Linked DNA regions of Stegostoma tigrinum. The protein of the gene in region 3 purifies or fractionates together with the protein of the main gene of each other region. This does not show direct contact. Links are inferred from orthologs where the notes say so. Each region holds a gene or a part of one and is shown on either strand. Other genes may lie near its edges.

What was found.
Region 1: the proteins of stau1 (region 3) and ELAV-like protein 1 purify together in Homo sapiens (affinity purification with mass spectrometry; 3 studies listed by BioGRID, with this or other methods). This does not show direct contact. The link is inferred for Stegostoma tigrinum from reciprocal best matches to the Homo sapiens genes STAU1 and ELAVL1.
Region 2: the proteins of stau1 (region 3) and hnrnpua purify together in Homo sapiens (affinity purification with mass spectrometry; 4 studies listed by BioGRID and IntAct, with this or other methods). This does not show direct contact. The link is inferred for Stegostoma tigrinum from reciprocal best matches to the Homo sapiens genes STAU1 and HNRNPU.
Region 4: the proteins of stau1 (region 3) and heterogeneous nuclear ribonucleoprotein Q purify together in Homo sapiens (affinity purification with mass spectrometry; 3 studies listed by BioGRID, with this or other methods). This does not show direct contact. The link is inferred for Stegostoma tigrinum from reciprocal best matches to the Homo sapiens genes STAU1 and SYNCRIP.

The regions. Positions count from the first base shown.
Region 1 is NC_081383.1:36,221,142-36,229,516, forward strand, and holds the start of ELAV-like protein 1, read right to left. Parts: upstream 3,347-8,375; 5' UTR 3,188-3,346; intron 1-3,187. UniProt on the Homo sapiens protein: RNA-binding protein that binds to the 3'-UTR region of mRNAs and increases their stability.
Region 2 is NC_081362.1:86,362,401-86,369,974, reverse strand, and holds the start of hnrnpua (heterogeneous nuclear ribonucleoprotein U), read right to left. Parts: upstream 3,408-7,574; 5' UTR 3,254-3,407; coding exon 2,536-3,253; intron 1-2,535. UniProt on the Homo sapiens protein: DNA- and RNA-binding protein involved in several cellular processes such as nuclear chromatin organization, telomere-length regulation, transcription, mRNA alternative splicing and stability, Xist-mediated transcriptional silencing and mitotic cell progression.
Region 3 is NC_081372.1:32,631,238-32,638,526, forward strand, and holds the start of stau1 (double-stranded RNA-binding protein Staufen homolog 1), read right to left. Parts: upstream 3,032-7,289; 5' UTR 2,844-3,031; intron 1-2,843. UniProt on the Homo sapiens protein: Binds double-stranded RNA (regardless of the sequence) and tubulin.
Region 4 is NC_081362.1:29,838,057-29,846,214, forward strand, and holds the start of heterogeneous nuclear ribonucleoprotein Q, read right to left. Parts: upstream 3,063-8,158; 5' UTR 2,948-3,062; exon of another isoform or gene 2,780-2,947; intron 2,020-2,779; coding exon 1,857-2,019; intron 1-1,856. UniProt on the Homo sapiens protein: Heterogenous nuclear ribonucleoprotein (hnRNP) implicated in mRNA processing mechanisms. Component of the CRD-mediated complex that promotes MYC mRNA stability.

The DNA.
Region 1 (8,375 bases), on a different chromosome or scaffold from region 3:
ATAGAGTTTGAGAGCAAGGAGGTTATATTGAACTTTCACAAGATACTAGTTCAGCCTCAGCTGGGGTACTACATCCAATTTTGGGCACCATTATTAACATTAAGAAAAGATTTGAGAAGTAAGGTCTGTTTTCCTTGGAGATGACAAAGTAGAGAGGAGATGTGATAGCGATATAGAAAATTAGAGATCTGGACAGAGTAGATATGGAAAAATCATCTGCACTAGGACAGAATCATGAGTGAGGCACAGGTTTAAAGCACTCAATAAAAGAAGCAAATGCAACAGCAGAGAAAATGTTTTCATGCAGCAAGTGGTTTCGGTCTGGAACACACTGTCAGAGAATATGCTGGAGGCAACTTTAATTAAACGTTCGAAAAAGATCAATATGCAGGATTATGGGAAAAAAAAGCAGCATAACAGCACCAACTGCATGCTCATTTGGACAGCCAGAGCAGACAGGAGCTGCAAATTGCTACCTTATGTAATAACCCATTGATTATGTACTATTCAAGTGAAAAACACTCTAATACCGTTCTTGGAAGCTCACACTTACACCACACTTCAATAGCGAAACACGATCAAATATCACCTGAACGTCCCTGGACTCCAAACACATACCACTACTGCCTTCTCTGATCTAGAATGGTAACATGTTTACAACAGACTGCACTTCAAATCTTTGTCCTGATACTCCATTTTATTTTAATCATTACCACTTATTGACACACTCCAAACTCTTAGCATTGATGCTACATTCTCTTTATATTATTGTACTACTTCTTTCTGCCCCATAAATCATCTTTAATATTTTCAAGGTGGAACTGTACAAGTGCAAATTGATTGCACTCTCCACGCCTTTAAAAATACAACCAACTTTGGTATTAATAATCTACATAATTTAAAAGCCTCCAAATGCATCAAAGAGTAGGCCCACAATCAGAAATTATACTTTACCACTCCAACATGGTTTTACTCAAGACCCCTCGCAAAAATGTCTTGGTGCTGTGTGGTATGTTATTTAATCACAAGCATTGCCATGCATTGTCTTTGCCAGAAATAAAATTAAATAAAACAAATATTAAGCAATTCAGTAAGGCGCACCAGCGATTGATCAACATTCTACAGCGTTCTGAGAAGGGTCACTAGATCAGAAATGTTAAGTCTGATTTTTTCCTTCACAGATGCTGCCAGACCTGCTGAGCTATTCCAACATAAAGTGTGAAGCTGGATGAACACAGCAGGGCAAGCAGCACCTCAGAGCACAAAAGCTGACGTTTCAATCTAGGCCTGAAACGTCAGCTTTTGTGGTGCTGAGGTGCTGCTTGGCCTGCTGTGCTCATCCAGCTTCACACTGTTATCTTGGATTCTCCAGCATCTGCAGTTCCCATTATCTCTGAGCTTTTCCAACAACTGTATTTTGAATTCTACACTCAACCACTACTTTAGCCAATACTGCCATTTCAGTTTATAGAACCTTGTTATATTTTGAAAAAAGCTCTTGTTGAACACATTGTTCTTTATAATAATTGTTTTGTATTATCATCCTCTGGAGAAGTTGTTTAGAAATGCGCTGAGTTACAAACACCAACTTTAATATCTTTGATGCTTTCAGTTTTTAGGAAACTGCAAAATGGAGTCCAAAACCAGACAGCATAGGTTTAAGATAGGAGGGGAAAGATATAAAAGGGACCTGAGGGACAGTTTTTTCATGCAAAGGGTGGTACATGTATGGGATGAGGTGCCAGAAGAAGTGGTGGAGGCTGGTACAATCACAGTATTTTAAAGGCATCCAGATGGGTACATGAATATGAAAGGCTTAGAGCGATATGGGCTAAATGCTGGCAAATGGGACTAGATCAGTTTAGGCAATCTCGCTGGCATGAATGAGTTGAACCCAATGGATCCGAGTCGAAGTAAACACGAATCTAGATCAATGATATTATTGAATCAGGCAATCTGAGCTAGACAATGGAAAGAGTGGTGTCATACAGCTGGTGAATCTTCAACATTTCAAAGCAGCCCTATATATTAAAAAAAACGGACTCCTGGGAAGAACAAATGTGATTAACTGTGTTATTGTCATTCAGATTTGCTAATGTGGGTAGCTGCAAATAAAGATGAAACCTTAAAAAGAACAAGAAACAGGCATAGAGATAGTAGGAACTGCAGATGCTGGAGAACAAGGTGGAGAGCTGGATAAACACAGCAGGCCAAGCAGCATCAGAGGAGCAGGAAGGCTGAGGTTTCGGGCCTAGAAATTTCTGAAGAAGGGACTAGGCCCGAAACGTCAGCCTTCCTGCTCCTCTGATGCTGCTTGGCCTGCTGTGTTCATCCAGCTCTGCACCTTGTTATCTCAGAAACAGACATAGCATGCTTTAACTACCTTCACTTGGTAAGTCAACCGTATCTACATATTCATTCGTGTGCAACGCATTTGCAATCAATTGATAATTTACCCGAAATTTGGTGAATAAAGAACTGCTGAAAAAAAATTTCTGGGACGAAGAGGGAAGTCAGTCATTTGGAAATTTAAGTTTATGTAATGGACGTGTGGGTTTTAGGCAAATGTTTAATAAGCGTTTTTGAGAAGATATTGCTAACATTGAGGTCATAAATATAACATTTCCGTTCGGTTGAAAGACTTATTTTTGCTATTAATACGTGCTTAAAGGGGCTTTGTTCAATGAAGTGATTGGAGGTTGTTGGGTACAAAAGCCCGGGCGCAAAGCGCATTGTTCTAACAAATGCATTGGCCCCATTCCACCATCCACCCTTTTCCCTCTGTGGGCTGAAGCCGCCAGGACACTAAAATCCCATCCACCGGGGACCTCCACCCTCCTCTTCTGTTTCCATCTTACAACCGTCGCTCTTTTTTAAAAGGGCCTACACCACCGGTTTACATCCCCGATCTCGAGTTAGGATTTCCTTTTCCCTACCACTAGAAAGCCCACTAGTCTCCATCGCATTTTCCTCATAATAGGCATAATAAAACTCCCGGTCTTCCGTCCATCACTCCATCTCTTCACCCTTCTAGCCAACAGTGCCTCTGTCTGGGGGTGACCAATCTCTCCAAAGCCGAGGCCTAACTTCGAGAAGCATAGGCCCCTGTGCCGCATGGCCTGGGCCTGTTTCCCAGTTCACGTCGAGTTCTCATATTATTTTTCTTATTCGACAAGTTCACACTCACTCTGTCTGAGCCCCGTACTCGGTACGGGGTGAGAGTGCCGGCAGCACTGATGTCTTTCCGGGACTCGAGCTGAGAAAGGGGAAAAGCCCAGGCCAAGCGCAGAGGCGGAAAAAAAATCCGTTAAAATCAAACAAAGTCAACCCCGCGCGCCGCCAGCAAGCGAAGCACCACCCCCTCCTCTTCCATTGGATAATCTGTTTATCCATCACACCCGCGCCTCCACGACTTCTTCAAGTGCATTGGTTACGACGAACGTCAGTTATACACTTTGCGGTCATCGACAATTCCTATTGGCCCAAAGGGTAGCGGCCTACGATGAAATCTTGTTACGGCGTTTCCTTCCAGTCGTGAAAGAGGCGATTCACGAAAACCTGGTTCGTTTGTCAATCAAATTGTTTAAACCCGGCTATTTGGAAGTTAGGAGTGATACGGTTCAATCTTACTGAAGTAAGTATTAGTATGGTCACGTGTTGACAACCAGATAGAAATATCACTGAAATTGCCTCAACTTTCTTCGACATATTGTCGAAAAGTATTTTTTTAAATGAATGTAAGCCAACACAGTTCTGAAACAAAGAGTCAGCCTTACCGGACTTCGAAGGTTAACTTTACTTCTATCGCCCGAAGTTCACGTTTGTTGAGTTTCTTCGCCATTCAGTTTCATCTCTTTTAGTAAATTGAAATTAGGCGTGAGCTTTTAAATGTTTTACTTGGCTCTGCAGGTAGCCTGAGGTTGCTATTCATTCAAAGTTGTTATCCCTTTATTTTTAACGTTTGGAATTGCTATCCGAGACATAATAGTCCCTAACATCCATCTCTAATCTGTAAACCAATGATTTCTTGACACGTTTCAAAGTTGATAAGTATTAGGCTTTCTGAACTGCACGTTCAGTTTGGGCAATTATCCATGTTCCTTCCAGGAGATCGTTGTATATAACTGATGCCAACCTGAGCGTTTTGTTTAACTTAAGATTTTGGGGGACCCAAGTGTTTTAAGACCACTCATACAGATATTTGAGGGGAGTTTTCGTACTTCATTTACTTTATTAAAACTTTTTGTATCTGTAGCTTCTTATTAGTTTATAAATCTCTAACTGTATTTAGTGATAATTGTTGATGTAAACCCATAATGCATGTGCATTTTTCCTTCATCAGAGAGCCCGAAACGTCAGCTTTTGTGCTCCTGAGATGCTGCTTGGCCTGCTGTGTTCATCCAGCTCCACACTTTGTTATCTTGGATTCTCCAGCATCTGCAGTTCCCATTATCACTGCATTTTATCTTCGGTGCGATCACCATTTCGGTGGAATGCTGTTAAGAGTACCCGTTGGCATTGAAAATACAACCACAGCAATTCAGGGTGATTTAACGAAAAGCCGATACATTCTTGAAAATTGTGGCAGACTGGGTGTAAAGACACATAGTAGAAAGACTGTGTAACTACAGCATATTAAACACGTATATTGATTGAACAAAAACAAAGTTTAACGTTTCGGGTCCGGTGTTCTGAGGACTGAGAACTGAGCTTTTCCAGCAGCTTCTGGTTTTGTTCCTGACTTACAGCATCCGCAGGTCTTTTGGTTTTTATATGTTGATCTCATTATCAGCCTTGATGTAGCAATATATAATGGGTTTGGTGAAAACAAAAAAGTAGTTTTGTCTGGCAACAGTTGTGCAGATCGTTTCAATAGTGCATTATATTGAATATTCCTTGGATGATCCTTGGTAGAGGGGTTTTTTTTTAATATAGCTTTAAAAATGCTGAGAGGCTGTATGTATCAGAAGCAAAGATTCAGGCAAGTTGTATTTAAATTCAATCTAGCTAAAGTTGGAGCTCACTCAAAGTAATACATAATTTTTCAGGGATTTTTCAAAAATAATATTTCTGATATTCATATCACATCACTGCTTTTGTATGTTACATTAAGGATGGAAATCTGAAAGAAACAATTCAATTTATTTATTAACTTTACTATGTTACAATGGCAACCACTCTCCAAGTGGTAATTTAATTTGTAGAACATTAAGTTTGTGAATAGTACTACATAATATGCACGCTTTAATTCTCTTTCATTACTTCAGAATGCCCCAAAATGCCTTATAATTAACTAAGTACTTTTTGAAATTTAGAATTATTGTAATGTAGAACAAATACTTAGTGAGAAGATGGGCAGCGAATTGAAGGATTCCTATCCTGTATTCTCCCCAGGTACGTATGTTGTGGGTGTGCCATTTGTGAATCCTTAATTTACATGTGTGCATAATGTGGAAGTGTTTGGAATCATTACTATATATCTTTTCAGGATGATTCTCCATTGCACTTGGTTCAATGTAGAACAAGTGGCATCCTATTTGAATGTAAAAGTCCTGAAGCCACCTCCATGCTACTAATGGAAACAGTAAAAGATGCTGCCTTATGCAGCACATCTTCAACCTTGGAGATGGAATGCAGCTTGGATACATCTGGTCAAGGCCAGATGAATCTGTCCATTGCAGGATAAACTTTCCATTTGTGTCACATGGATGGCCAGATCCACTAACATCAAGCTGGTATTCTTTTCTTACAATTACCTCTTACTGGCTGACTATCATCTACAGAAAGACCAAAGAGGTGGTAAAAGGAAATGGAAACTGTGAACATGAGTCTGATGACATCCAAAAATTGAGAAATTTTTAAAGAGATTTGGAGTATGGTGGAAAGCAATCAATGTGACCATCTCATTTTCAAAGGTGTTCAAAAGTCCAGCGAGGAAACAGGGAAGTTCCAGGAAAGCATGCAGTCCAGCTGGCTGACCTCATTCCAATCCTTACATCCATAAATCTCTTTCTCCTCATCCACACTTTCCTTTTCTGAACAGTGAGAAAATAGCGATCTGTCTTTCTTAGGTCCAACTAAGATGTTCTCAGTTTTTTTGAAAACATCAGTAGTTGACAGATGAGGTGAGTAGGCAGTTCTATGGGCATATACTCTGGACTTTAGATGAAGTTGTCTTCATAGTACAAACACTTCATCCCAGAATTGATGTAGTGAACCTCTTCTGAACTGCCTCCAATGCAACTACATCACTCCTCATGTAAAAGGACCAAAATTGAATACAATACTCCAGGTGCTATCTCGCTAACCTTGTACAGTTGCAGCAAACATTTTACTTTTTCTTCTACTTCCTTAGTAACAAAAGTCAAAATTCCATTTGCCTTTCTTATCGCCAGTGGTACATGTATCTTCATTTTCTCGGATTCTTGCAGAAGTACACTTGGATCCCTCTGCACTCTGAAGTTTCTCTCTCTGTTTAGATAAATTGCTTTCCTATTTCTTTAATCAAAATAGGTAATCTTTTTTATCCATGTTAAACTTCATCTGCTTAATTTTGACCCATAATGTAACCTATCGATTTCCACTTGTAAAATTCTTATTACTTCATTGCAACATATTTCCCACTTTTAGTGTTATCTACAAATTTCATTCTAGTACTTTGTTTCCCTGCACCTAAGTCACAAATATAGATTGTAAATAGTTGTGTCCTAAGGATCAAAATCTGTGCATACCACTAGAGACATCTGCAAATCAGAAAAAGTCTGATGTATCCTCTGAATAAAATGTGGAAAAACTGCAGGTACTGTAAATCAGAAACAAAAATAGAGATTGCAGGAAAAACTTAGCAGGTCTGGCAACATCTATGAAGAGAAATCAGAATTACCATTTTGGGTCAGTGACTGTTCCTCAGCACCGTATGCTATGTTGGTTAGCCAATCCTCTATCCAAGCTAATAAATTACTCAGCCTCATGTGATCCTATCTCATGGATTAACCTTTTGTGCAGCGCCTTATCAATGCCTTCTGGAAGTCCCAGATATTCTACACTTATAAATTCCTATTATCTATCTTGCTTGTTACATCAACAAAGAACTCTAGCAAATTAGTCAAACAGAATTTACGCTAAATAAAATCATGCTGACTCTTGAGTGCATTTTGACGTCCCAAATGTTATTCATTTTTAAAATATCCTGTTATTAATGAATGGATTGTAACCAGTTCCAAATGGCACATGTTTAATCAACTGGTTTATAGTTTCCTACTTTCTGCCTGTCTCCCTTTTCAAACAAGGGCATTATATTTGCATTTTACAACCCACTGGAACCTTTCCTGCATTCAGGGAATTTTGGAATATTATAAACAATGGATCCACTGTTTCTGCTGCCACTTCATTTAAGACCTTAGGATATAGGCCATCAGTCCCTGTGGAGGATATAGTAGGAACTGCAGATGCTGGAGAATCTGAGATAACAAGGTGTAGAGCTGGATGAACACAGCAGGCCAAGCAGCATCAGATGAGCAGGAAGGCTGCTCTGTTCATCCAGCTCTACACCTTGTTATCTCAGGCCCTGTGGACTTGGCTGTCTTCAATCCCCAATAGTTTGCTGTACAAGAATCTATAACAGCTAGGCTATTCAGGGAAGCTGATTGAAATCACTTCTCACAGGTTGTCTTTTTTATCAAAGATAATTGGGCGTAGATAGGAATGTGGAATTCGGAATAGAAGCAGATCAGCCATAATTAATGTTGTAGTGGACTTGGAGCCTGCATAGTGTACCTACCTTATTCTACATCCTTGTATGGAAGGCCAGACAAATTATTAGGTTAAGGTCAATTACAAATTTTAAAATGGAGTTCAGATTTTGGTTCTCGTTCAGACGTTTCGTCACCATGCTCAGTGCCATCGGAGGATATGAAGGCCGTCTTTGGAACCATGGTGCATAGATGGTGGTCATGTTGCTGATCAACCATGATCTATATAAATTGCCTCCATCCGACTTGATGTTTAGTTCTACAGTGTGTATTCACCCACATGCTCATGGTGGAAGTAATGATTCACAATCTCAATTTTACGTTTAATCTAGAGTATGATTTGTGATTGTAATGAATGAGATAGGTCAAATGATACATTATATACACCTTACTTTTAAGAGTGAGATCTATTAAAAGAAATATAGTCAATTCTCAACTATGTTACGAAGCGCACAGAACACCAATTCTACACAGTATCTGTTTCTTCAGTGTAAAAGATGCGGGTGTGTTCGCCAGTGGGTCCAGGATAGATGCAAGCTAGCAAGCAGTGTTGATTGTTACATTCCTACAGGTGGTGCTGCTGAGCTACTAAAAGGCAGTCTTGCTGGGGCAAGGTAAGGAGAA
Region 2 (7,574 bases), on a different chromosome or scaffold from region 3:
GAAGGGGAAGGGCAATGGCATGTACCAAGACATTAAAATGGTCAGATGTACCAACATATTTTCTTTTAAGGCACTTAAAAGTTCATCACAGAATTAGGTTTACACCAAAATCTGTTCTATGCCTTGCTGAATTGGAACATTAAATTTTGGGTACAGGAGCTATTGGTTCTTTGAAAAAGTGCAGTCAATATAAAAATATTCAAGCACACCTGGACAACTCATTAAATTCAACTACACTGTGAATTTCCACTTATTTTAGAGGTTCAGATATGAAGAGTTTAGCTAATGTCTTCTGGGTATGTAAAATATTTCAAATGTTCTCAACGGTCACTGCTGAAAAGTTGGTCCACAAGAAGTGATGGAGCTGAACAAAACAATGAGATATCTTATCAGACTTGACAATGCACGGTGTACAAATTGCCTGGGTACTTTAACAAAATAGGATTTCACCAAGTCTGAATGCTCTCAAATACTCAAAACAAACCAGCCCGAACAAAGCTCTTCATAAGCAATATGCATCTATCTACATGCCAGAAAATTGAGTTTGCCAAGCAGCACAAGGTGTCTTAAATAACTACATCTGCTACACACCAAAGCAGTGAAATTAAACACTGCTGCTTTCTTCAAATCTGGACAGTGGAAATTCAATTCAACCTTTTCTCAGACAGGACGGTGTCCACTTGGTCTCAGTTGTACATCGATATTGCAGTCCAGCATCCCATGCAATGTTTACATAGCACACTCTGTAGAAGCCAAGTTGTTTGTGAATGACTATTTCATGACTGATAATGCACTGCATGTATCATTACTATATACTGCCAGGATTGCTACATCACACAATTACCATGCAATATTCTGCTTCATGCAAAATCGACCACCAAGTATAATTAAATACACAATACAGGTGTTAATTATACATCAATTGCTGTTGGGGGGAAGGGAACTTTACAAATTGTACACTCAAATTTCCAGCTTTGGATGAACATGATGCTGAAGGGAAGGCAAAGACGATTTATATTAGTTTAGGGTTGACTTTTAGCAAAAAAAACACAAATATTACTATTTTAGAACTTGAATTACCTAGCAGATGCTGTGATTCTATAGATTATATTTATAATTTAAATTCCTTACAGATCATAGATTTTTCAAAGATTGAAACATGAAAGAAGTTTGCCATTAGGAGCCATTGAAAGTGGCCCACCTTCTCTAAACGCTTACCTTGTATAAAAATATTGCCAACACAAAAAATTCTTCTCTGACTCAAGGACCCACACTCACAAGCAACATACCTCCAGACTGTTTGCCTTCCATGTTGTCAAAGACATTGTCGTTTTCTAAAATAAACTTAATTTCTCCCATGACCCGATATCAAGCTACCATCCAAGCTACAGAGTAAACGCAGCCTTGCACATACAATGCATTAGCCAATTTCATCATTTGCAACCCACAGTTTTTGTCAAAGCCTTCCCACACATTGGGGCTATATGTGCTTGGCTGCAAGCTTTTCTAAACCATTCCCACTGTTTTATCCACCCGGTCCCATAGTTTTTCTGGGAGGTTTAAGAATCCATTACTAGCCCTAAACCTAAAAGTGATCTCCATTTAACCACAGAATTAAGACCACATTTCACACATGCAGTTACTTCATAATCAACTTTAACCCACTCAACTCCTCCAAAACTTTTTGGATGAAATCCAGGATGGGATGAAGCTTCAACTTCAAACTGACCAAACATTCACAGATGCAAGCTATACATGCAACTCCAGCCCTTCCCTGCACTTCTTCAGAGACACAGCCAAGTTACTGTACCCTAAAGGTGCCCTGACCTTATGTTTTAGCTAAATCCCCACTCCAACCTGACGGCCTACTTTTCATCAAAATGCTCTGATATAAAAGATAGTAGGAACTGCAGATACTGAAGAATCTGCAATAACAAGGTGTAGAGCTGGATGAACACAGCAGAGGACCAGGAAGGCTGACGTTTTGGGCCTAGGCCCTTCTTCAGAAAATGATAAAAGCATGTGGCTTATCTGGCCTGACAGTGCTGGAAGTGATTTTCTAATCTAAAACATCGAACAGCAAATGCAAAGCAAAATAAAAGAGAAGGTGCAAAGTTGTTTCTATTCCCACTTCCCCTCCCCCTACAACCTTTTCCTAATTCCTTGAGCTACTCCATTTTGGTTTGCATTATTTCCACCCTCCATTTTCTCAGTGGCTTCCTTCAGCCATCCTGTATCCTCATCCCACACCACCACCCACCCCCGCCTCCAATCCACTCTCCCATTTTAAATCCAGTCTCTCTCTGATAAGAGACTGGGACTCAGGCTGAAGCAGCTCCTCCTCCACCACCCCCCCACCCCCTGGGCACGGTCTAACACGCGCGCCCAGCAGCCGGAGCCCAATGGAGGCGCCGGAAGTGATGGGTTCTGAGGCTCGTTGATGTTTTAGTTTTTTTTTGTGAAATAAAACGGATGAATGAGAAATAAAAAGCCCAGGTTCCCCGCCCCCGGGCGAAGGGAGGCGGGTTCCCCCACCTTTGCTGGAGTGTTGAGGGGCGGGAGCCGGGACCGAAGCGGCCTCAGGTTCCTGTTTGCCACCAGCCCGCGCCTCGCCGTCCCCCAGCTCCATTGTTTCCTCTTCTCCCGCTCTTTGCTGCGCCTCAGCCTGGACTTGGGTTTGCTCTTGGACCCGGGCCGGCTCCGGTACCGCTCCCTCCGCCTCTCCCATCCCGTTTTCCTCCTCCTCCTCGTCGCCCAGGCCGCTCTCGCCTGTTTTGCTCTCGACCTCCTCCTCCTCCTCCTCCTCGTCGTCCATTCCCCCTCCCGCGGCTCGGACCAGGACTTCGGCCTCTCCTTGAGATTCCTCCTCCTCCGCCTGGACTTGGCTCACTACGGCCGCCGGCGGTTCCAGCCCAGCGGCCAGGGAAGCGCCGTTCAGTCCCGGGCCCCGCGCCTGGGCCTCGGCTTTGTCTCCTCCCGCCAACTGCGGCGGCTCCTCCTCCTCCTCCTCCTCGCCGCCTGCCGTCTCGTCTTCCAGCTCCTCCTCGCCGTTCTCGGGGGTCTCCAGCGGCCCGGGCCCCCCGTCTTCCTCCTCCTCCTCCTCTTCCATCATCTCCTCCTCGGCCTCGCTGTCGAGTGCGGCCTGCAGCCGCTCCTGGAGCTCGGCTTTCAGGCCCTGCACACTCAAGCCGCGCCGCTTCAGCTCATCCTTGAGCTCGGGCACCTTCAGTTTCTTCACGTTGATGTCGCTCATGGTGAGGACGATGGCGGGGACTCGGGCTCAGCTCCGGCCTCGGGCTCCGCTTCGATTCGGGCTCCGTCACCCTGCACCGATCGACCCGGCTCCTCGAGGCTCGGCTCGGCTCGGCTCCGCGCCGCGCAGACTCAGTGTGGGGTCAGCACCGGCCTACCGTAAACCCCCGAGAGTGAGCGCCTCTGCTGGAGAAGCAGGGAGATTGCTGACAGAGCTGCTGGCACATTACTAACCCAATGCCACTGACTGCCTATGCATCATCGACAAAGCTGCTGCTGGATTACTGCGGGGGGGGGGGGGGGGGGGAAGATATGGTCATTGTCATTATTGATTAGTGTCTGGTTGGAGATATCAGTTACTGGGCATATCTTATCTGCAAGCATCAATAATGACATTTGAAGCACTCTGTTTGCAGATAGCTGTGCTTGAGAGTCTATCCTTTGCTCCTCTCTTCTTCAACGTGCTTCCCCTCATATCATCCGCAGGAATGGGTTACCTTTCATAGTACACTAATGATAGCCTGTACTCTTATATCTACCATGGGGATTGGTTAGTTCAGTTGGTTAGACAGCTGCTTTATCATGCAACAGCTTGGGTTCAATTCTCGTAAATTACTATGAGGGTCCCACCTTCTCAATCTCGCTCCTCGTCTGAGGTGTCATGAGCTTCAGGTTAAACTCCACCAATCATCTCTAATGAGACAGCAGCATTAGGGTCCTCTGAGGTCATGGCAACTTTACCTTTATATAATTACTACTAAGTCAGATGTTGTTCAACATCAAATAATAGCTTTTTCCTCCCTTATTGGGTAAAGTTATCAGAATTAGAGATGAACTTGTTGAAATGTGAGTTCCTGAGACAGCTTGAAAGGATAGACGCTGACAGATTGTTTCCCCAGCAGGATAATCTAGAATTAGGGATTGCTGTCTCTGGAGAAGGAATGAGACATTTAGGACTGAGATGTGGGGAAATGCCGTTGTTCAGAAGGTTATGAATCTTTGGAATTCTTTAGCCCAGAGTGCTCTGGGTTATCTGCCATCACTATTGGATGTTTTGGTTGTTAAAGGAATCAAAAAGAATGAGAGAGAAAGGAAATCAAAGTCAAAGCTCAGCCAGCCTTATTAAATGATAGAAAAATCTCAGACATCTTATGGATCTCTTAGAGCAAAATAAATAAAAGATAGGAATAAGAGCAGGAATTTCTCATGAGATAGGGATCAAATGTGGTGAAAACTATACGAGTAAAGTGTCGGGAATTGGCATTAAAAGAGATAACTGGAAGGCTGCTAAGTTATAAACTGCATAGACTGATTGACCTACTATTTGTGTCACATTAGTTTGGAAATCTAAAGTAGTAACTATGCATGCTTTGTACATTAGTATGTAGCAACTGTATAAATAAAGGAAATGACACAGTGTTTCTATGCAGAGATCAATGAGTTGAATTTAAGGTAGAATTGCTGCTGAATTTCAAGTTCAAGATGTTAGAAGAATAAAGGAGTGGGTATCATATCTTGCATTCTGATGTTTCCTCTGGCACTAATCAAAATTCATTACTAGCCTTAATAGCAATTAAGGCTGCTACTTGATGATACAGGGAAGCAATCTGGAAAAATAAATTCTGAACTTTAAGATGATTGGGTTTGGTGTTCACTATACATGGTTATAAATCTTAGGATGAGTGTTAGTTCAAAGTTAGATCTGTGGTAATCCTAACCATAGAAATGATACAGGACTGAGTGAGGTCATTTGGAGATTGTGCCTATGCTGGCTGTTTGGTTGAGCTATATTGAACTATTTTTATTACTCTTATTGCCTTGCCTTTTCTTTTTACCTGTAACATTTATCCAATTCTTTTTTGTAAGTCACTGTTGAATTTACTACTTCCACCCTTACAGGTAGTGCATCGGAGATCAAAACAAATCTTTGTCTTTTCTTATTGCTTCTGGTTTGTCTTGTAATTTCCTTGTAGTAAATGCCTAATGATTTCATGTGATTTAGAGATGTAACCTTGTAGAAAATGTAGAAATTGAATTTTAAATGTTAAGCGCTGTGGGGAAAGAATCTCTGGTAAATGTCTAAGGTCTGGCAAATCACATGGTCTTAAGATAATTGCAATTCAAAAGATAACTTGTACTTAAAGGAAAAAGTCAGGGCAAAAGAATGAGAATCGTAAAATGACAGCCAACCTCACTTAGCTAAAAAAACTGGGGTTATGATGTCTCCAATTATTCCAAGAAAAAGAAAAAATGCAGGATGGTGTGGTACAGGGGAATTTGGATATTCTTGTACACTAATCACAAAACATCTCTGCAGATACTGCAAAGAATTCAGAAAGCAAATGGAATATAGGCCTTTAATGCAAAGAGAATGGACTGTAAATTGGCAAGACTTGCTAACCTTTCTTTATAGAAGAGTCAATGACACCTCATGTAAAATAATTTCGCATACTTTTTGGCTTCATTATGTAAGAGGGTTATGCTTCCAGTGAAGGCAGTTCATAGAAGATTCACTGTGTTGATTCCAAAGATGAAGGGGTTCTCTTCTGAGGAATAGCTAAAAAGATAGAGTCTCTACCCACTGGAGTTTATTAGACTGCAAGATGATCTTAATGTATATGATTCTGGCGGGCTAAACGGAGCAAATGCTGAGTATATGTTATCTGCTTATCATGGAATCTAGAACTACATGACATGGTTTTAAAATAATGTGTCCAATTAAGATGGAGATGAAGAGGAATTTCTTCTCTGAGGGCCATTAGTTTTTGGGAGTATTAACTCCAGAGAATAGTTGAGACTGGGTCATTAAATATGCTTAAAATTGAATTAGACAGATTTTTGATTATAAGGCAGTCAACAGTTAGAGGATAAAGGAAGAAAAGTGGAGTTAAGACCACAGTCTTTTCACCATAATCTTGTTGAATGGTGGAAGAGTCTCAAGGGTCAAGTGGTCAATTTCTTATGGTTTGTATGACATTAGAACAGAACAGCTCAGAGCATTTCATCTCCCGACTACTTATTTTATTTTCTTAAAAAATGTCCTTTGTTTACTGCTCCCCCTCAGTAAAAACATTTTCACTGCAGTGTTGTTTGCTGATGAGTTATTTGATCATAATAGAAGCCCAAGCCAGACTTCTTCGTAACAGTCGAACTGCATATATTGTTTAACTCTACGAGATGATAAGGCTACTTAGCAGCACATTTCACCCAGTACAGGATCCAAATTCTTAGGAGAACACTTTTTTAATTCATTCATGGGACCAGGGCATTGCTAACTGGCCAGCATTCATTGCCTGTTCCTAGCTGCCATTGAAAAGTTGGGAGTGATCTTACCTTCTTGAACCACTGGAGTCCATGTGTTGTGGTTTGAGCCACAATGCTATTAGGGAGGAAATTCCAGGATTTTGACCCAGAAAAAGTGAAGGAATGATGACATATTTCAAGTCAGGACGGTAAGTAGTTCAGTGGGGAACTTGGTGGTGGTGTTCCCATGTATCTGTTGTCCTTAACTATCTAGATGGAATTGGTCATGAGTTTGGAAAGTACTGTCTAAGTGCTTTGGTGAATTTCTGCAGTGCGCAATGCTACTCCTAAGCATTGGTGGTGGAGAGAATGAACGTTTGTTGATTAGTGCCAATCAAGCAGCTGTTTTGTCCTGGATGGTGTTAAGCTTCTTCAGTGTTGTTGGACCTGCACCTATCCAGACAAGTGGGGAACATTCCAGCACACTTCCAACTTGTACCTTGTAGATGGTGGACAGGCTTTAGGAAAGCTGGAGATGAGTTACTCATTGTAGTATTGCTAGCCTTAAGCCTGCTCTTGTAGTCAATGTTTATGTGGTGAATTCAGTTGAGTGTCTTGTCAATGGTAACTGAAGGATGTTGATAGGGGTAGATTCAGTGATTGTACTGCTATTGAATGTCAAGACATGGTGGTTAGAATGTCTCCTATTGGTGATGGTCATAGCCTGGCATTTGTCTGGCATGAATGTTACTTGCCACTTGTCAGCACAAGCCTGGATTTTGATCGGGTCTTATTGCATCAGCGTCTGAGGCGTCATGAATGGTGCTGAACATTATGCAATCATTGGAAAATATCCCTAGTTCTGACCTTCTGATGGAGGGAATGTTATTGATAAAGCAACTGAAGATGGCTTGGCCTAGGCCACTACCCTGAGGAACTTCTGCAGAGATGTCCTGGAGCTGAGATGATTAAGTACAACAACCACAAACATCTTCCAGTGTTCCAGGTGTGATTCTCAACCAGTGAAGAGGTTGCCTACTGATACCCATTGATTCCAGTCTTTCGAGGATTCCTTGATG
Region 3 (7,289 bases):
TGCTAAATTGCCCATAGTGTTCAGGGGTGTGTGGGTTATGGGGGGGGATGGGATGCTCCAAGGGGCAGCATGGACTTGTTGGGCCGAACGGCCTGTTTCCACACTGTCGGGAATCTAATATAATTTAAATTAAATTAAATTAAATTAAATTAAATTAAATTAAATTAAATTAAATTAAAAATTAAGAGTTGTAGAATAATGTGAGGCCATTCAGAATTGAGAAAGAATTTCTTCAGTGGGTGCTGAATGTTCAGAATACTCTGCCCCAGTGTTGTGGAAGCTTAGACAGAAATTGGCACATTTCTGCATATTAATGATATCAAAGGAAACTGGGACAATGCAAGAAAATGGTGTGGAGTAGATTCAGCAATGGTTGATCATCTCACTGTATGGGCTTCGAGGATTGAATGGCCTCCTCCCGTTCCTATTTCTCATGTTCATATCAAGTGACTGAATAGCTAAATTTACTTCTGATAGAGATAGTAGGGACTGGCGACGCTGGAGAATCTGAGATAACACGTTGTGAAGCTGGATGAATACAGCAGGCCAAGCGGCTTCAGAAGAGCAGGAAAACTTGACATTTCGGGTTGGGACCCTTCTGATCTGAAACGTCAAGCTTTCCTGCTCCTTTGATGCCGCTTGGCCTGCTGTGGTCATCCAGCTTCACACTTATCTCTACTTCTAATAGCTTTGGTTGAATGGAATATTGATGGGGCATTAGGAGAGCTCTGTTCCATTTTTAATTTTGTCACAGGAGATTTTATTCTCTGAAATGACATACTGGTCCTTAACTAACATCACAATTGAAAACGGTTGTGCTTTGTATCAAAAATTAGAAACTTTCACTTCAAATGCAAATAATCAATTGCAAAAGGAACAACCCTTGCCAACAGGTATGGCAAGTTTATTAGAAATTACAAGAGGAAATGGGGTGAAGTAAATAAGCAAAAAAGTCACAGTAAGTCATCAACAAAAAGCACAGGTGATCAAGAGTACAGTGGGCAATTCCGTTTGTTCAGTGATTGTGCCGGCAGAAATACACTACTGGACTTAAAACAAGATAAAAAGGTTCAACCACCTGTGATGTATTTAAAGCAAACAGGAATAGGATTAGGCTATTCAACCCAGGTTTCTTCTATCATTCAGCATCATAGCTGGTCTTTTACCGCAATGTTCACATACCTTGATTTGGTAACTTTAATATGCTTAGCAAGAACCTAAAAATATCTAAATCTTAACCTTCCAAAAATCCCACCCATGCCACAGTCACTCCAAATTTTAGCTATCTGAGAACTTCAGCTCATTCAAAATCCTTACTGACCACATCCAACCCCCGACTTTGTTTGCATATAATCCTACCATTACTGATCTATAGACACTTTAGTTAATGCAACACATTCAAAAATCTTATCCTACTGTTGAAAAACCTCATTTTGCCCACTCCTCTAACACTTACCAATCCTGCAACACATCACAGAGGTTTCCAATTTTAGTTTTTTTTTGGGTCCCTTTGATCATCATTAGCAATTCTGCCTTTGACTATTTAACCATTCCCTTACTGCTGCTTCCCAAAACATTCCTGCCTCTTCATATCCTTTAAGCCTCTTAAAATAGTCACCTTAGCCACACTCAGTGAGCCCATCCCACTTTGTAGGCTGACACATAGCCTAGCCAAACAGCTTTAGAAATTCAGAATACATCATAACTTCTACAATAATGTTCAACCTCCCATTTGTCCCAGTCCTGTCAATCTCCAACTTCCCACAAACTTCTGATGTGTAATTGCTACAAATGGTAACTTGGGACATCAGGTTTCCTAATTCTGTTAGTGAAGATTACATCTGCAAAATACCAAGAAAATTCAACACAAGCATTAACTGCAACAATTTTATAGTGTAATGCCTGCACAATTACCATGAAACCAATATACTAATCAACACAAGCAGGAAATCAACAATCTGGAGAGCACTGAAGCAGAAAATCTCAAAGTTTAAATCCATATAACTGCTAATTTGTGTACATTCCAACCAGCCAATACAGAATTATAATTCATGGACAAAAAAGAATTACTAAAAAGATGTTTCTTAAAACAAAACAAAGCTCACAACTTGAGACAGACCATGAAATAATAAAACCAAAAGCAGTCGCTTGGAATTTGGAGACCATATCTGAGGATCAGGAATGCACATGAAGAGGGGAACACAGTTTAGGCATCTAACACTAGTATGCAAAGTTTTTTTAAAAAGGGAACGGTGCTCCAAACTTGCTCATTAGGATGTTGGGAAAGACACAAACAGTTGATTTATCGGGGTAAAGAGCTTTGCTAATGACGGTATGTGATACGTTTACACTCCAAAAGTCTGTAATTTGCAGATTTTAGGATATTCTCAGTTGTAGAGCACGATTTAGCCAATGACAACACTTCAATTATTTTCATTCGGGCAGATAACATTTCTTTAGCATACTCTGGGGAAGGTGGTGTTGTTAACACTTGCTCAGGATTTACCAACTTTCGGAAAATGGATGCATGATGGAAGCTGTCAGAATTTTGGAAAACTATGGGCCCTGAGTTTGGACTGACCAGATGATATGGGACAGATCAGCACTCAAAAACCAACCGGGTTGAGCTGGTGGTCTACTCCAGGGGGAGCAGGGTTCTCACAAGGGTCTCAGACGGCCCACGAGATGGCAGTGGGGCCTGGTCATCCTCACCGCAGCAGACTGCCCTCCTCCAGAGTTTCTCGCCCGGATCCGCCGGGTCCCAACTCCTGGGACAAACCGAGCGCTGGGGGCCGCTGCCCCGTAGCCTCCTCTCCGGCCTCTACTTTTCACTCGAAACTTACCTCCTTTCTTCAAAAAAGCGAGCTTGAAGCCGAATTTCTGAAGAAACGAGTCAATCCATTCGCTTGCGAAGCAGGAAAGAAGAGCCGCTTCCCGCTGCCGACACACGGCAAACACTAAAGAGAATCGGACGAACCGGCGGCGGAACCGACCTTAACCGCTTCACCTTCCCAGAACGCCGCGCGCCACCGGAACTGACGTCCCGCGTCCACCAGAGGCCCCGCCCCCTTACTGCCCTTTAAACCGGTGGCTAGAGGGCGTGTGCGGGAGACTCGACCACGCACTGTCGCCTTGGTAACGTACAGCGTTTCAGTCACTGCAGTTGACACTAGGGTTTATCTGATGCAACACCGATGTTCAGAAATGACCTTGCCATGGGGATGGGCTCGAAACGCTAACTCGGTTCCTCCCTCCACAGACGCTACTCGGTACCTGCTGAGTTTCTCTAACGCTTTCTGCATTTTGTTTCGGATCTCCAACGTCCGCAGTATTTTGCGTTTTTTTTAAAAACTTCGGTACGGAGAAAATATCTCGCGCGTAACTAAAGTGCCACTGATGAGGTGGTTTGCCTCACCTCCGACAAGTGCAAAACTTTACTTACAACAGGGGCATCTGGTCTTTCATATGAGAGCTGGCTGGTGTAACGTCTATTTTTTTTTAAAAAAAGTCCCGAAACAACTGTGGCTGCTGTAAATCAGGAGCCAAAAACAAAGCAGAAATAGTAGGAACTGCCGATGTTGGAGACCCGAAAATCCTCTGATGCTGCTTGGCCTGCTACGTTCACCCAGCTCTACACCTTGTTATCGCCAAAAAAAAACAGGAGTTGCTGGAAAAGCTTAGCAGGTTTGGCAGTACCTGTAAAGAAGAATCAGTTAACGCCTCGGGGCCAGTGATCCCTTCCTCAGACCTGGTTTAACGTCTGACCAGGATAATGAAATGTGAGGCTGGATGAACACAGCAGGCCCAGCAGCATCTCAGGAGCACAAAAGCTGACGTTTCGGGCCTAGACCCTTCATCAGAGCTCTCATCAGCTCTCTGCAGAAGAGTCTAGGCCCAAAACGTCAGCTTTTGTGCTCCTGAGATGCTGCTTGGCCTGCTGTGTTCATCCAGCCTCACATTTCATTATCTTGGATTCTCCAGCATCTGCAGTTCCCATTATCACTAACGTCCAACCTGAATGACATTTCCGACACTACATTGCAACGGTAACCTGCTTTGTGTGCTCGAAGTTTGTGGTGGTGTTTCAATCTATTTTCCAACTGGCTCGATGAGAATGGCAATAGCCCTGACTCCTTATTAGTTCTGGTATCCCCATTACCAGTTACTCACACTGTAAAAGTTAAGACTTAAATAACCACTCTTGTGCAACTAATATTATTCGGAAACAAAATTTGACTTTGGCGACAGTGGCCGACCTTGAATGGGATAGGCGTTTGCGGATGAGTAAGAAGAAAATTGTTTGTTCTCGCAAAACTTGTAATAGAAGTAGTGAAACGATAACATCATTCCAAAACACAATTGTACGGCCTGTAATTCTACTTAAAAAGAACATTACATTTTCATGTCCTGAAATGTTTTGGAAAAATAATGGTACGTATGTTGTCTAAGGTAATTGTTTAACTAATTTTGGATCAAAATCGCACGTTTTTCATTTTGTTGCATTTCCCACGACCCTCGTTTTCACTTACATGGCTGCACATCCATCAGTTGATGTACTTTCTGGATTTATACAAATAAAGGGCAGGTGTTGCTTTATGCCACAATATCTTTTGAATGAAAAACATCAGATCAGCAATGTTTAGTAGGATTTTTTTTCTAGATTTTTAGTATCCTTTCCCTGTCCAGAAGACCACCGTTTTGAGGATTGAGAAAAAGTTTCTAGGGCTGCATTGATAGTCATTTCTATCTTCCAAAAACTGTAATGGCTGTCTTGATGGGGATACCCACCTTAGAGTAAACCACAATATCAAAATTCTGATTAATATTCGCTATGCACAATTTATATTTGTTTTAGAGCAACATTGAGCTTTTCACGTAATTTGATAATACACTGCATTTGGCAAAATTAATGCACCAACTGCCATAAATGCCAGTATAATTCAAAAAATCAATATCAATTACTAAGTTTATATGATGTATGAACCATTATTATGGGTATTTTTTTGTTTTATAGTTCATTGATAATTTCATAGGAGGCTGGACAATAACAATGATCCACTAAAATCCATTAAATGGTGAAAAATCTGCATTAACAGAGATAAATCTCATTGGAGATGAACACCAAGAATATCAGTGATTTGAACACAGTAGATTGTTGATAGCTTCACATTATCTAGATTACATAAAGTCCTGAAATCTGTTACTTGATGCAGAAATCAACACAGATTACAAAAGCTGCAACTGTTATTCAGTTTCCACGTAAGAGTGTGAACAACAACTTGAGCATGTTAAACTTTTTAAGTCTTCCCAAGCCTGTGTCCTCAGTGCAATCCTCTACAGTGGTGAAAATTTAATAAAGTATGCAGGTATTAGGAAAAGCCAAATGGTTTTGATATTACCTGTTTCAGACATATTCATAGTCTCCAACTCAGAGGTGCTGGGATGTACTAATTCCATCACTATTCCTCAATGCTAGGTCATTAAAGTTTGCTTTGGATGGCCAGCAGTATACAAAAACACCTTCTGTATGGTGAATTAGCTACTGAGTTATGAAATCTTGAAACAAGGCAATCTGCAAGTGAGATAAGAAAATTATGGACATTGATAACTAGGTGACAGTCACTGATAGCCATGATCTTTGGAGACTGGCTGGAAGAACTTTGCAAGAGATGAGTTAATTTGTTTGACTGGGTGGGGTAAGGATCATGAACTTAATCAGCATACTTGTCTTCTGCAGCAAACACAACTGGAACCAAAGCACAGCACAAACTATAATCTTACAAAAGGAAAGGTTGCCACTTGTACCTGCCTGGAGGATGATGGCAATGCATTCAGTCATTTCATGATGTATTCTGCTAGTGACCATGCTCCTCATTTGAAATACCTGATGTATACTTGTGGTATGGCTTTAAATCCAGATGTGTTTTTTGAGGAAGGATCACCGGATCCAAAAGGTTAACTGATTTTTTTCTTCACAGATGCTGCCAGACCTGCTGAGCTTTTCCAGCAACTTTCATTTTTGTTCCCGATTTACAACATCCACAGTTCTTTTGGTTTTTAATCAACTATATATTAAATTGGTATGCTGTCAATCTTCCTCTGGAAAGGTCAATTTGGGTACAGCGAGTAGTGCTTCATATCTAGTATTAGTTGTATTTTGACTAACTACAGATAATCTTCCTTTGGAAAGGTTTATTTGGGATTAAAGTGGTTCTAAACTGACACTTAAAATAATGGAAGTTAAAAACAAAACTAAATCATTTTTATATGGCAGACTGTGCAGTCCTATTTTTGAGTGAGAGCCTGGTGAACAATTGATCAGTTAGTGTAGAGGGAAAAGATGAGTGATTGGAATTGGCATTTTACATGCATGAAAATAAGCCTATAATGAAATACTAAATTGATAATATTATGTGTTAAGCAGCAGGAAGCTAAATAGTTCTCTGCTGTAAAATGTCAGTTTCAGTTAACTCCAACAGCGCCCTTGCACAACTAAGCTTTGGCTTCATCTACCTTCACCATCGGTTGTCTTCATTGATTTTAGGTACAAACTGTTATTCAAAGATACTCTACACATGTGATTTAGACCTTTAAATTTGGTGATTCTCTTATGTATTTTAGATATATTGCTGACTAAAACTACATTCTAGTGAAAGTTCTGAGGCATACATAGATTTATACCTTCCTATATAAAATTATGCAGCTTTGCTACTAGATTTGAATGGCAGCTTCTGATCCATACAAATTAGGAAGACTCCAAAATTGTGTTTTCCCTGTCTATTTTAGAAATAGTAGTATGGGTGGCACAATTGACTGAAGTGCTCTGAGTTATTAACTTTTGTGCAAGTGTGTTAAAGGACCACAGAGCCTATTTGTGAAGAATGCACTGAGACTAGGATGCTTTGGTCGAGACTTGCATGCTGCAGAGTTTACATCTTCATTCTAAATATCCCTTCCTAAATGCTAGCTGTTTTCTTTTTTAAAGGAATCCAGATTTTATCATTATCAAACAAAATGAAAGTAAAACAACCCGAGGGGCACAAAAAATTAATTCAAAATTTTGAAGGATCCAGAGGAGAATTCTGAATTAAAATGTATTTGGAAGGGATTAAATACATCTATGTATAAATAACCAAACAGTACCCAACACTTGTCTACCTTATTTTCTTTAAATACAAGGTATTTAATGCTCATCACCTGAACCTATTAGACACGAACAGACATCCCTCTTTTTCTCCAAAATAAATAAATTAATATGCAAACAAAAGCTCATTCATAAGAAAACATTA
Region 4 (8,158 bases), on a different chromosome or scaffold from region 3:
CATACCCCGCATCTTCAAATGGGGGGTGTTGAGCAGCAGCACGTAGTTGAGAAGTAAGGGATATAAAGATAGATCCTGGGGAGACACCAGAGGTTATGGTGCTGGGACAAGAAGATAGTGCAAGTGATTTGGCATGAGAACAGTCCCACTTAGCAGAATGACAGTGGAGGTGGTATAGCAATTGTACAACCAAATAAAGATGTAGACCAGGGCAATGAGGATGAAGGAGGAAAGTTTACCATCATCACAGCCACTCAGAAACCAATTTGTGACTTTAGTAAGAGCCTTTTGGCACTACTGCATGAACAGAAGCCTGAGTGGAAGGATTCAAGCAAAAGGTTTGGGAATTCAAGAACAGATATGGGAGGTGGCAATGAATCTGGAGGGTTTTGATAAGAAAGGCAGGTTGGAGTTGAGCTGGAAGTTTGCAAGGGCAGTCAAGTCAATTTTTTTAAAAAAGGTTAGGGTGATGGAAAATTTTAAGTAAGAGGGAGTACTATTGAGGGATAGAACTCATCAATTAACATGGAGGCCTTCAGGCGATTAGAGTGGAGTTGGCAAATCAGCAGTAATAAGTTTCACCAATAACAGAAGAGACAGGACAGACATAAGTAATTTTAAGAAACTTCAGGGGATTCCAATATCCAGCATTAGGTTAGGCAGTTTTTCAAGCAGAGTAGTGAAGGACATTTCCCACCAATTTCAGAATAACCTATAGCTGAAGGCTCAAAGGCAATATTTCTTCAACAAACTTTCCTGGAAGAAGCAAAATAACAGGTCTATGATATTCAAAGATGAAGGGAAAGGAACCTTTTGTATTTAAATTTTATTCATGGAGTTAACTAGATGAAAAACAACTTAGAGCTCTTACCACTAGATGCTGCTAAAAATATGGAGATAAGAATTGAGCAACAAAATCTAGGCCGTATGTCAGGCAACTAATCTATCAGAAATAACCCCTCAGTGGGTGTTGATGATCCCATGAACCTGTTGAACAGCAGACACTCTCCTAGCCAACTGTAATCTCAATTAACATTATTGCAATGATAAGATGTTGAGCTGGATGCACAGCAGGCCAAGCAGCACAGGAGCAGCAAGGTTGACGTTTCGGGCCTAGACCCTTCTCTAATATTACTGCATGATTTGTTTTAACAAGTTTCTTGTTAAATGGAAAAAAGACTGGTGGGTTTAAATCTGCCTATACTTCAATAATGACTACAGTACAGAAGTATTTTATTGTCTATGAAGCATAGTGGGACATCAAGATTAGCATGGTTCACATTCTCTAAACATCTTCAGACTAAATAATAAAACAGTCAGAACGGCAATAAGAACAAGACACAGTTCTTTTCTGCTGTGATTTAAGAGGTTGAAGTTAACTTATGACTCAGCAGGCTCTAGCAGAAACCAAACAACTCAAAGGAAGCAAATCATGATCCGTCTCTGCAGGCTTAAATGTAACACTGGGCAATGCCAGTGCCTGCATGACAATATGGTGAATTTCAACCTTTCAAGAAAACTATCCATTTTGTTCTCTACGTGAACGCTGGCTCTGAGATTAACGCAACAAAAAGATAGTTGTTTTACTGATCTTGTCACCTTATTCTTGCATACATATTTCCTTTGTCTATAAATAGATGAAGATCACTTGCAGGATGAGTCAGTCCAAGCCACCCCCTGTATTCCACGAGAATGCCAGCAGTGTTCTTTCCTTGACGTATCCCCATATTTTTAATGGAATTGAAATTGCATAATCAACACAAAATGGACACAAGAACGTATCAAACTGAAACAGGTAACAAATTGATAGCAAGATAAGTTTTAGTACAGAGTACTCATGCAGTTTGCAACCATACCTGCTAAATACATCTCATCTAGCTTGTCCGCAACTTTCTTTGGTAAACCAGCACTTAATAAAGTTTGATAGTGTTCAGATCGAACAACGGCAGTGGAAGTATCCATCGGCTCTTCCGTACCATTTCCATTCATATGCTCGGTAGCCATTTCTTCAGTAGACATCTGTACACGTGTACACATAAATGAAAGCAAAAATAGGCGCGGTAATGTCTTAGAAATTGATAGCCCTAAATTGACAGTCCTAAAATTATTAAAACATTTAGAGCGGAAAAGGACTAGACATGACCAAGCTGGCTAGGAATCATATTGCCAGATCCGTTTGCAGTGATCTCAGCTTTAGTCATCGTTCCCAGCCCAGCCAGCGAGCTTGCATTAGTAATAGACTCCAGTTCAAAGATAAATGACAAATGATAAAACAAGCCTTTTCGCCTCCTCGAATGGAGCACGATAGCGAATACCGGTTCACGAACATATGTCTGGGATGCGGCAACAGCGGGAAGTGCCGGCCAACTAACACTCCGTCCAGTAACTGGGAAAGGGATTCACCGACACCACTCCAAAGTAGTCAGGGCCACGGAGGGGGAAGGTCAGATCGGAGAGACGGGGGAAAATAAAGGAAGTCAACGCGGTCCTGTCTCGTTCCAGCTTTCCCCTGCCATCCCGCAGCCATGTGACATAGACAAAGGCTACAGTCCGGCCTCGAATCCCGGAGCTAAAAACTCCACCCCTTCGATTTACGGAGTACACACTCTGCTCATTCAGTACAGCAGAGGTCTCAGTGTCCAGGCCCCGGCCCACGCCTACCCAGAGTGAGGCTCCGGGTCTGCCTGCGGCCCATGGATTCGCTGACACTGCTCGATTTTCGGGCACGGTACCAGCCCCCTCCCACCCCGAGTTACAACCAGGGACAACACCAACTCACATGCTGCTCTATGCCAGCAAAGTCAAGTAGATGTGATGCCGGCTGATACTCCCCAAATCCCTCCCTGTCAGTTGAATTACTCTACCTTCCCCTTTCCGTTCTCTCACACACCGACCTACAAAATGGCGGCACGGCACACACCTCCCAAAGCCCCCAAGTTCCACTCACGCGTTCTCATGGTGGGGTCTCCCGACCTGCCCCGCAAGGACATCATCAATGGTGGGCGCGGCCCCAACGTCAGGTCCCGCTCCCTCATCTTTTCCATTGGGTACAAACAGCTGGTGACCACGCCCCCAAAGATGAATGACAGGGCTCCAAGGAATGCATGATCACGGAGTGGAAAAGCCCCGGCTCATATCGAGCTGCAAACCGTTGAATCTTTTCTTCGTAAAGGATAAAGCCAGTGCCATTCCTATTTAATCTTTTAGATCAGATATCAATGCAGAGATTTTGTGAGGCACCCTCGCGAAGACCAATCATAGGGTTGTACGACTATAGAATGAAACCATCCGGCCCATAAGATCGTATGATTTCGGAGCAGAATTAGATCATTCAGCTCATCGAGTTTGCTCCGTCATTCGATCATGCTGATATGTTTCTTAAACTCATTCTCCAGCTTTCTCCTTGTAAACCTTGATCCCTATTCTAATCAAGAACCAATGTGTATCTTAAATTGACTCATTGATAGGACCCAACAGCCTTCTGCATCAATGAGTTTCACAGATTCACCACCCTGGGCAGAATAAATTCTTCCTCATCTCAGGTCTAAAAGGTTGTCCATTCATTCTGAGGCTTTGCCCTTGGGTCCCAGTCTCTCCAACTAATACAAACATCTTCTCCACATCCACTCGATCGAGGTATCTCAGTATCCTGTAAGTTTCAATCAGATTCCCCCTCATCCTATTTGCATGTTTTCCCTCATCTCTTTGTTTCCTTTCCAAGAGGTCACCTGGGTGCCAAATCCTCTAGGAGCAGTCTGGAAGGCAAAGCCGGAGTCTGTTTAAGTGCATAACAGTAAACTTACTGGTGCAGAGAATACTGCAAAACTAAAAAAACTAATTAATTTTAAACAATTAACTAGGTAGAGGTGGCAGGTCAGATCATGTGTTGCAGCTGCATGATGTGAGAAGAACTAGCTGATCCCATCGAGAACAGCAGTGACCACATCTGCAGCAAGTATTGACTGTTTGACCTCTGGCTCAAAATTGATGAGCTAGACTCTGAACTCCAAACACTGCGGCACATCCGGGAGGGGGGGGCGAGATACTTGGATGCTCTGTTCCAGGAGGCAGTCACACCTAGTAGATTAACTAATGTTAATTCAATTGGCAGGCAGGGACAGCAGTGTGTGACTGCGAGTGAGGAAGGTAGAGGGACCCTGCCGAGAGGAACACAGGCACAACAACCTCTGACATTGTCCCACAGGTATGAGGCACTTGCACCCGTGGATGAGGCAACTGACCAAGACTCCATGGTCCAGGAGGCCATTCAAGAGGGGGGAGCTGAGAGACAGATCATAGTTGTAGGGGATTCCATCATTGGGGGAAAGACAGTATCCTCAGTAAACAGGATAGAGAATCCTGCATGGTGTATTGCCTGCATAGTATCAGGGTGTGAGACATCTCCAACCAGCTTGAAAGGATACTAGAGAGGGAGGGGAAGGATCTAGTTGTTGTGGTCCACATCGGTACCAACAACATAGGCCGGATGAGGTGAAAAGACCTGTTTAGGAATTATGAAAAGCTAGGAACAAAATTTTAAAAAAAGGTCTTCAAGGGTCATGCTCTCTGGATTGCTGCTCGAGCCACGTGCAAATTGACATAGGGAGGTGAGGATCAGGGAAGTGTACACGTGGGGCACTGGCATCAGTTCTGGAACAGGAGGGATCTACACCGCTGGGATGGATTCCGCCTGAACAGGGCCGGGTCCAGTGTTCTAGCGAAAAGGGTAAATAGGGTGGTCAATAAACTAGTAAGCGGGGAGGGAGAAGGGAGGAGTAAGCGTACAGGGAGTATAACAATTAATGCAAGGCAAAACAGCAGGTTAGCGGGTGACAAGGAAGCTTCAACTCCATTGAAAATTAGGAAAAAAGGTAATGGGAAGGAGAACTCAACAGCTGTTAGTAATGGAGGTGATTGGACTGAGAAAGAAGGTGCAAAAGCTGGCATAAGGGCACTTTATCTGAATGCTTGGGGTATTCGAAACAAAGTGGATGAGTTGAGGGCACAAATCATGGCAAATAGGTATGATTTAGTGGCCATTACAGAGACATGGTTGCAGGATGGTCATGACTGCGAGTTAAATATCCAGGGGTATCAAACTGTTCGGAAGGACAGACAGGAAGGTAAGGGAGGCGGTGTTTCTCTGATTTTTAAGGATTATATCACGGTGGTAGAGAGAGATGATATAGGTTCTCCTGAACAAGAAGTTGAATCGATTCAGCTGGAAATTAGGAATAGCAGGGAGAAGAAGTCACTGATAGGTGTGATCTATAGGCCTCCAAATAATGACATCATTGTGGTACAGGCAATAAACATAGAAATAGCTAATGCATGTAAAAATGGTACAGCAATCATCATGGGGGATTTTAATCTACATATCGATTAGCCAAACCAGGTCGGTCATGGCAGCCTTGACGAGGGATTCATAGAATGCATCCCTTGAACAATACGTAATGGAACCTACAAAGGAGCAAGCTATCCTAGATCTAGTCCTGTGTAATGAGACAGGAACAATTAATGATCTCAAAGTTAGGGATCCTCTCAGAACGAGCGATCATAGTATGGTCAAATTTAAAATACAGATGGAGCATGAAGCATAAATCCAGTACCAATGTTCTGTGCTTAAACAAAGGAGACTATGATGGGATGAGGGAGGAGTTAGCTAAGGTAGAATGGGTGCAAAAACTTTATGGTGTGTCATTTCAGGAACAGTGGAGGACTTCCAAAACAATTTTTCACAGTGCTCAGCGGAAGTATATTCCAATGATAAGGAAGAACTGTAGGAAAAGAAATAGTCAGCCATGGATGTCTAAGGAAATAAAGGAAAGTATCATATTTTTTAAAAATGCATACAAAAAAAAGCAAAGATTAGTGGGAAACTGGTAGACTGGGAAATCTTTAAAAGGCTATCAGAAAACCAGAAAAAAGTTAAAGAAAAGTAAGATAGATTATGAGAGTAAATTAGCTCAAAAAATATAAAATCAGGCAGCAGAGTTTTCTATAAATATGTAAATTGGAAAAAAGTGACAAGGTAAACATTGGTCCTTAAGAGGATGAGAAGGCCAATTTAATAACTGGGAATGAGGAAATAGCCAAGGCATTAAACAGTTACTTTGTGTCGGTCTGCACAGTGGAAGACACAAATAACATACCAAAAACTGATCGCAAGAAGGTTATAGCAGGTGAGGACATAGAAACTATCATTATCACTAAATAGGCAGTGCTGGGCAAGATAATAGGGCTAAAGGTAGACAAGTCTTCTGGCCCTGATGAAATGCATCCTAGGGTACAAAAAGAGGTGATGGGGAAAATAGCAAATGCACTAGTAACTATGTTCCAAAATTCACTGGACTCTGGGGTTGTTCCCACAGATTGGAAAACAGCCAATGTGACGCCACTGTTTAAAAAAGGAAGTAGACAAAAGACGAGTAACTATAGGCCAGTTAATTTAATTTCGGTAGTGGGGAAAATGCTTGAATCCATCATTAAGGAAGAAATAGCAAGACATCTAGATAGAAATTCTCCCAGTGGGAATACCTAGCATGGGTTCACGAAGGGTAGGTCATGTTCAACTGATTTGGTGGAATTCTTTGACGACATTACTTGCATGGATGGGAGTTTGCTCGCTGAGCTGGAAGGTTAGTTTTCAGACATTTCGTCACCTTTTTTTATTTGAAAAAATGTACTTTATTCATAAGATGTACAAAAAATAAAACATATTTATACACCTACTCAGTCATGCAAGCTGCTCCGGGTTACCCAGGGGGTACACACATCAACTAAAGGAAAAAAACAAACAAAGAAGAAAAAAAAACCAAAAAAAACAAACAAAGAAGAAAAAAAAACAAAGAAAAGAAAAACACCCCGGCAGTCGTCACCCTGCACAGTCCCAGTTGGCCCCCTGACCAGTTGGGGAAGGCGCCAGCTGGGCCCAGTTACCAGATAGAGCCCTTTTTTCTATTCTGGACGAGGGGTTTCATACCGTGGTCTTTCCCCACCGCGCCTTGGCGGCGGCTGCCCCAAGCTTTAGTGCGTCCTTCAGCACGTAGTCCTGGACCTTGGGAGTGCGCCAGTCTGTAACATTCGGTCGGGGTCAGTTTTTTCAGCTGGCAGACCAGCAAGTTGCGGGCAGACCAAAGAGCGTCTTTCACCGCATTGATGGTCCTCCAGGCGCAGTTGATGTTGGTCTCAGTGTGCGTCCCAGGAAACAGCCCGTAGAGCACGGAGTCCCGCGTCACGGAGCTGCTCGGGACGAACCTCGACAAATACCACTGCATCACCCTCCAGACCTCCTGTGCACAGGCACACTCCAGAAGGAGGTGATCGACAGTCTTGTCCCCCCAGCAGCCGCCTCGAGGGCAGCGTGCGGTGGCGCAGAGATTCCGGGCATGCATAAAGGATCTCACTGGCAGCGCCCCTCTCACTACCAGCCAAGCAATGTCCTTGTGCGTGTTTGAAAGTTCTGGCGATGAGGCATTCTGCCAAACGACTTTGGCAGTCTGCGTGGGGAACCACACGACGGGATCCACCCTCTCCTTTTCCCGAAGGGTCTCGAGGATACTACGGCCTTGTGGTCAAAGGTGTTTCCTTTCAAAAATTTCTCCACGAAGGACAGGTGGTACGGAACGGTCCAACTACTCGGAGCGTTCCGCGGCAACGAGGCCAGGCCCATCCTTCGCAACACCGAGGACAGGTAGAACCTCAGTAAGTAGTGACACTTGGTGTTTGCGTACTGAGGATCTACACACAGCTTGATGCAGCCACACACAAAGGTAGCCGTCAGGGCGAGGGTGGCGTTCGGTACGCCCTTTCCCCCATTTACCAGGTCTTTGTACATGGTTTCCCTGCAGACTCGGTCCATCCTCGACCCCCAAATGAAGTGGAAGATGGCCCGGGTGACCGCAGCGGCGCAGGTCCAGGGAATAGGCCAGGCCTGCGCCACATACAACAGTACCGAGAGCCCCTCGCACCCGACAACAAGGTTCTTACCCGCGATGGACAGGGACCGGAGCGTCCACCTGCCCAGCTTCTGCTTCAGTTTGGTGATACGCTCCTCCCAAGTCTTAGTGCAAGCCCCAGCTCCACCAAACCAAACACCCAGCACCTTCAGTAGTCTGTGCTGACGGTGAAGGGGATGAAGGAGCGGTCGTCCCAGTCC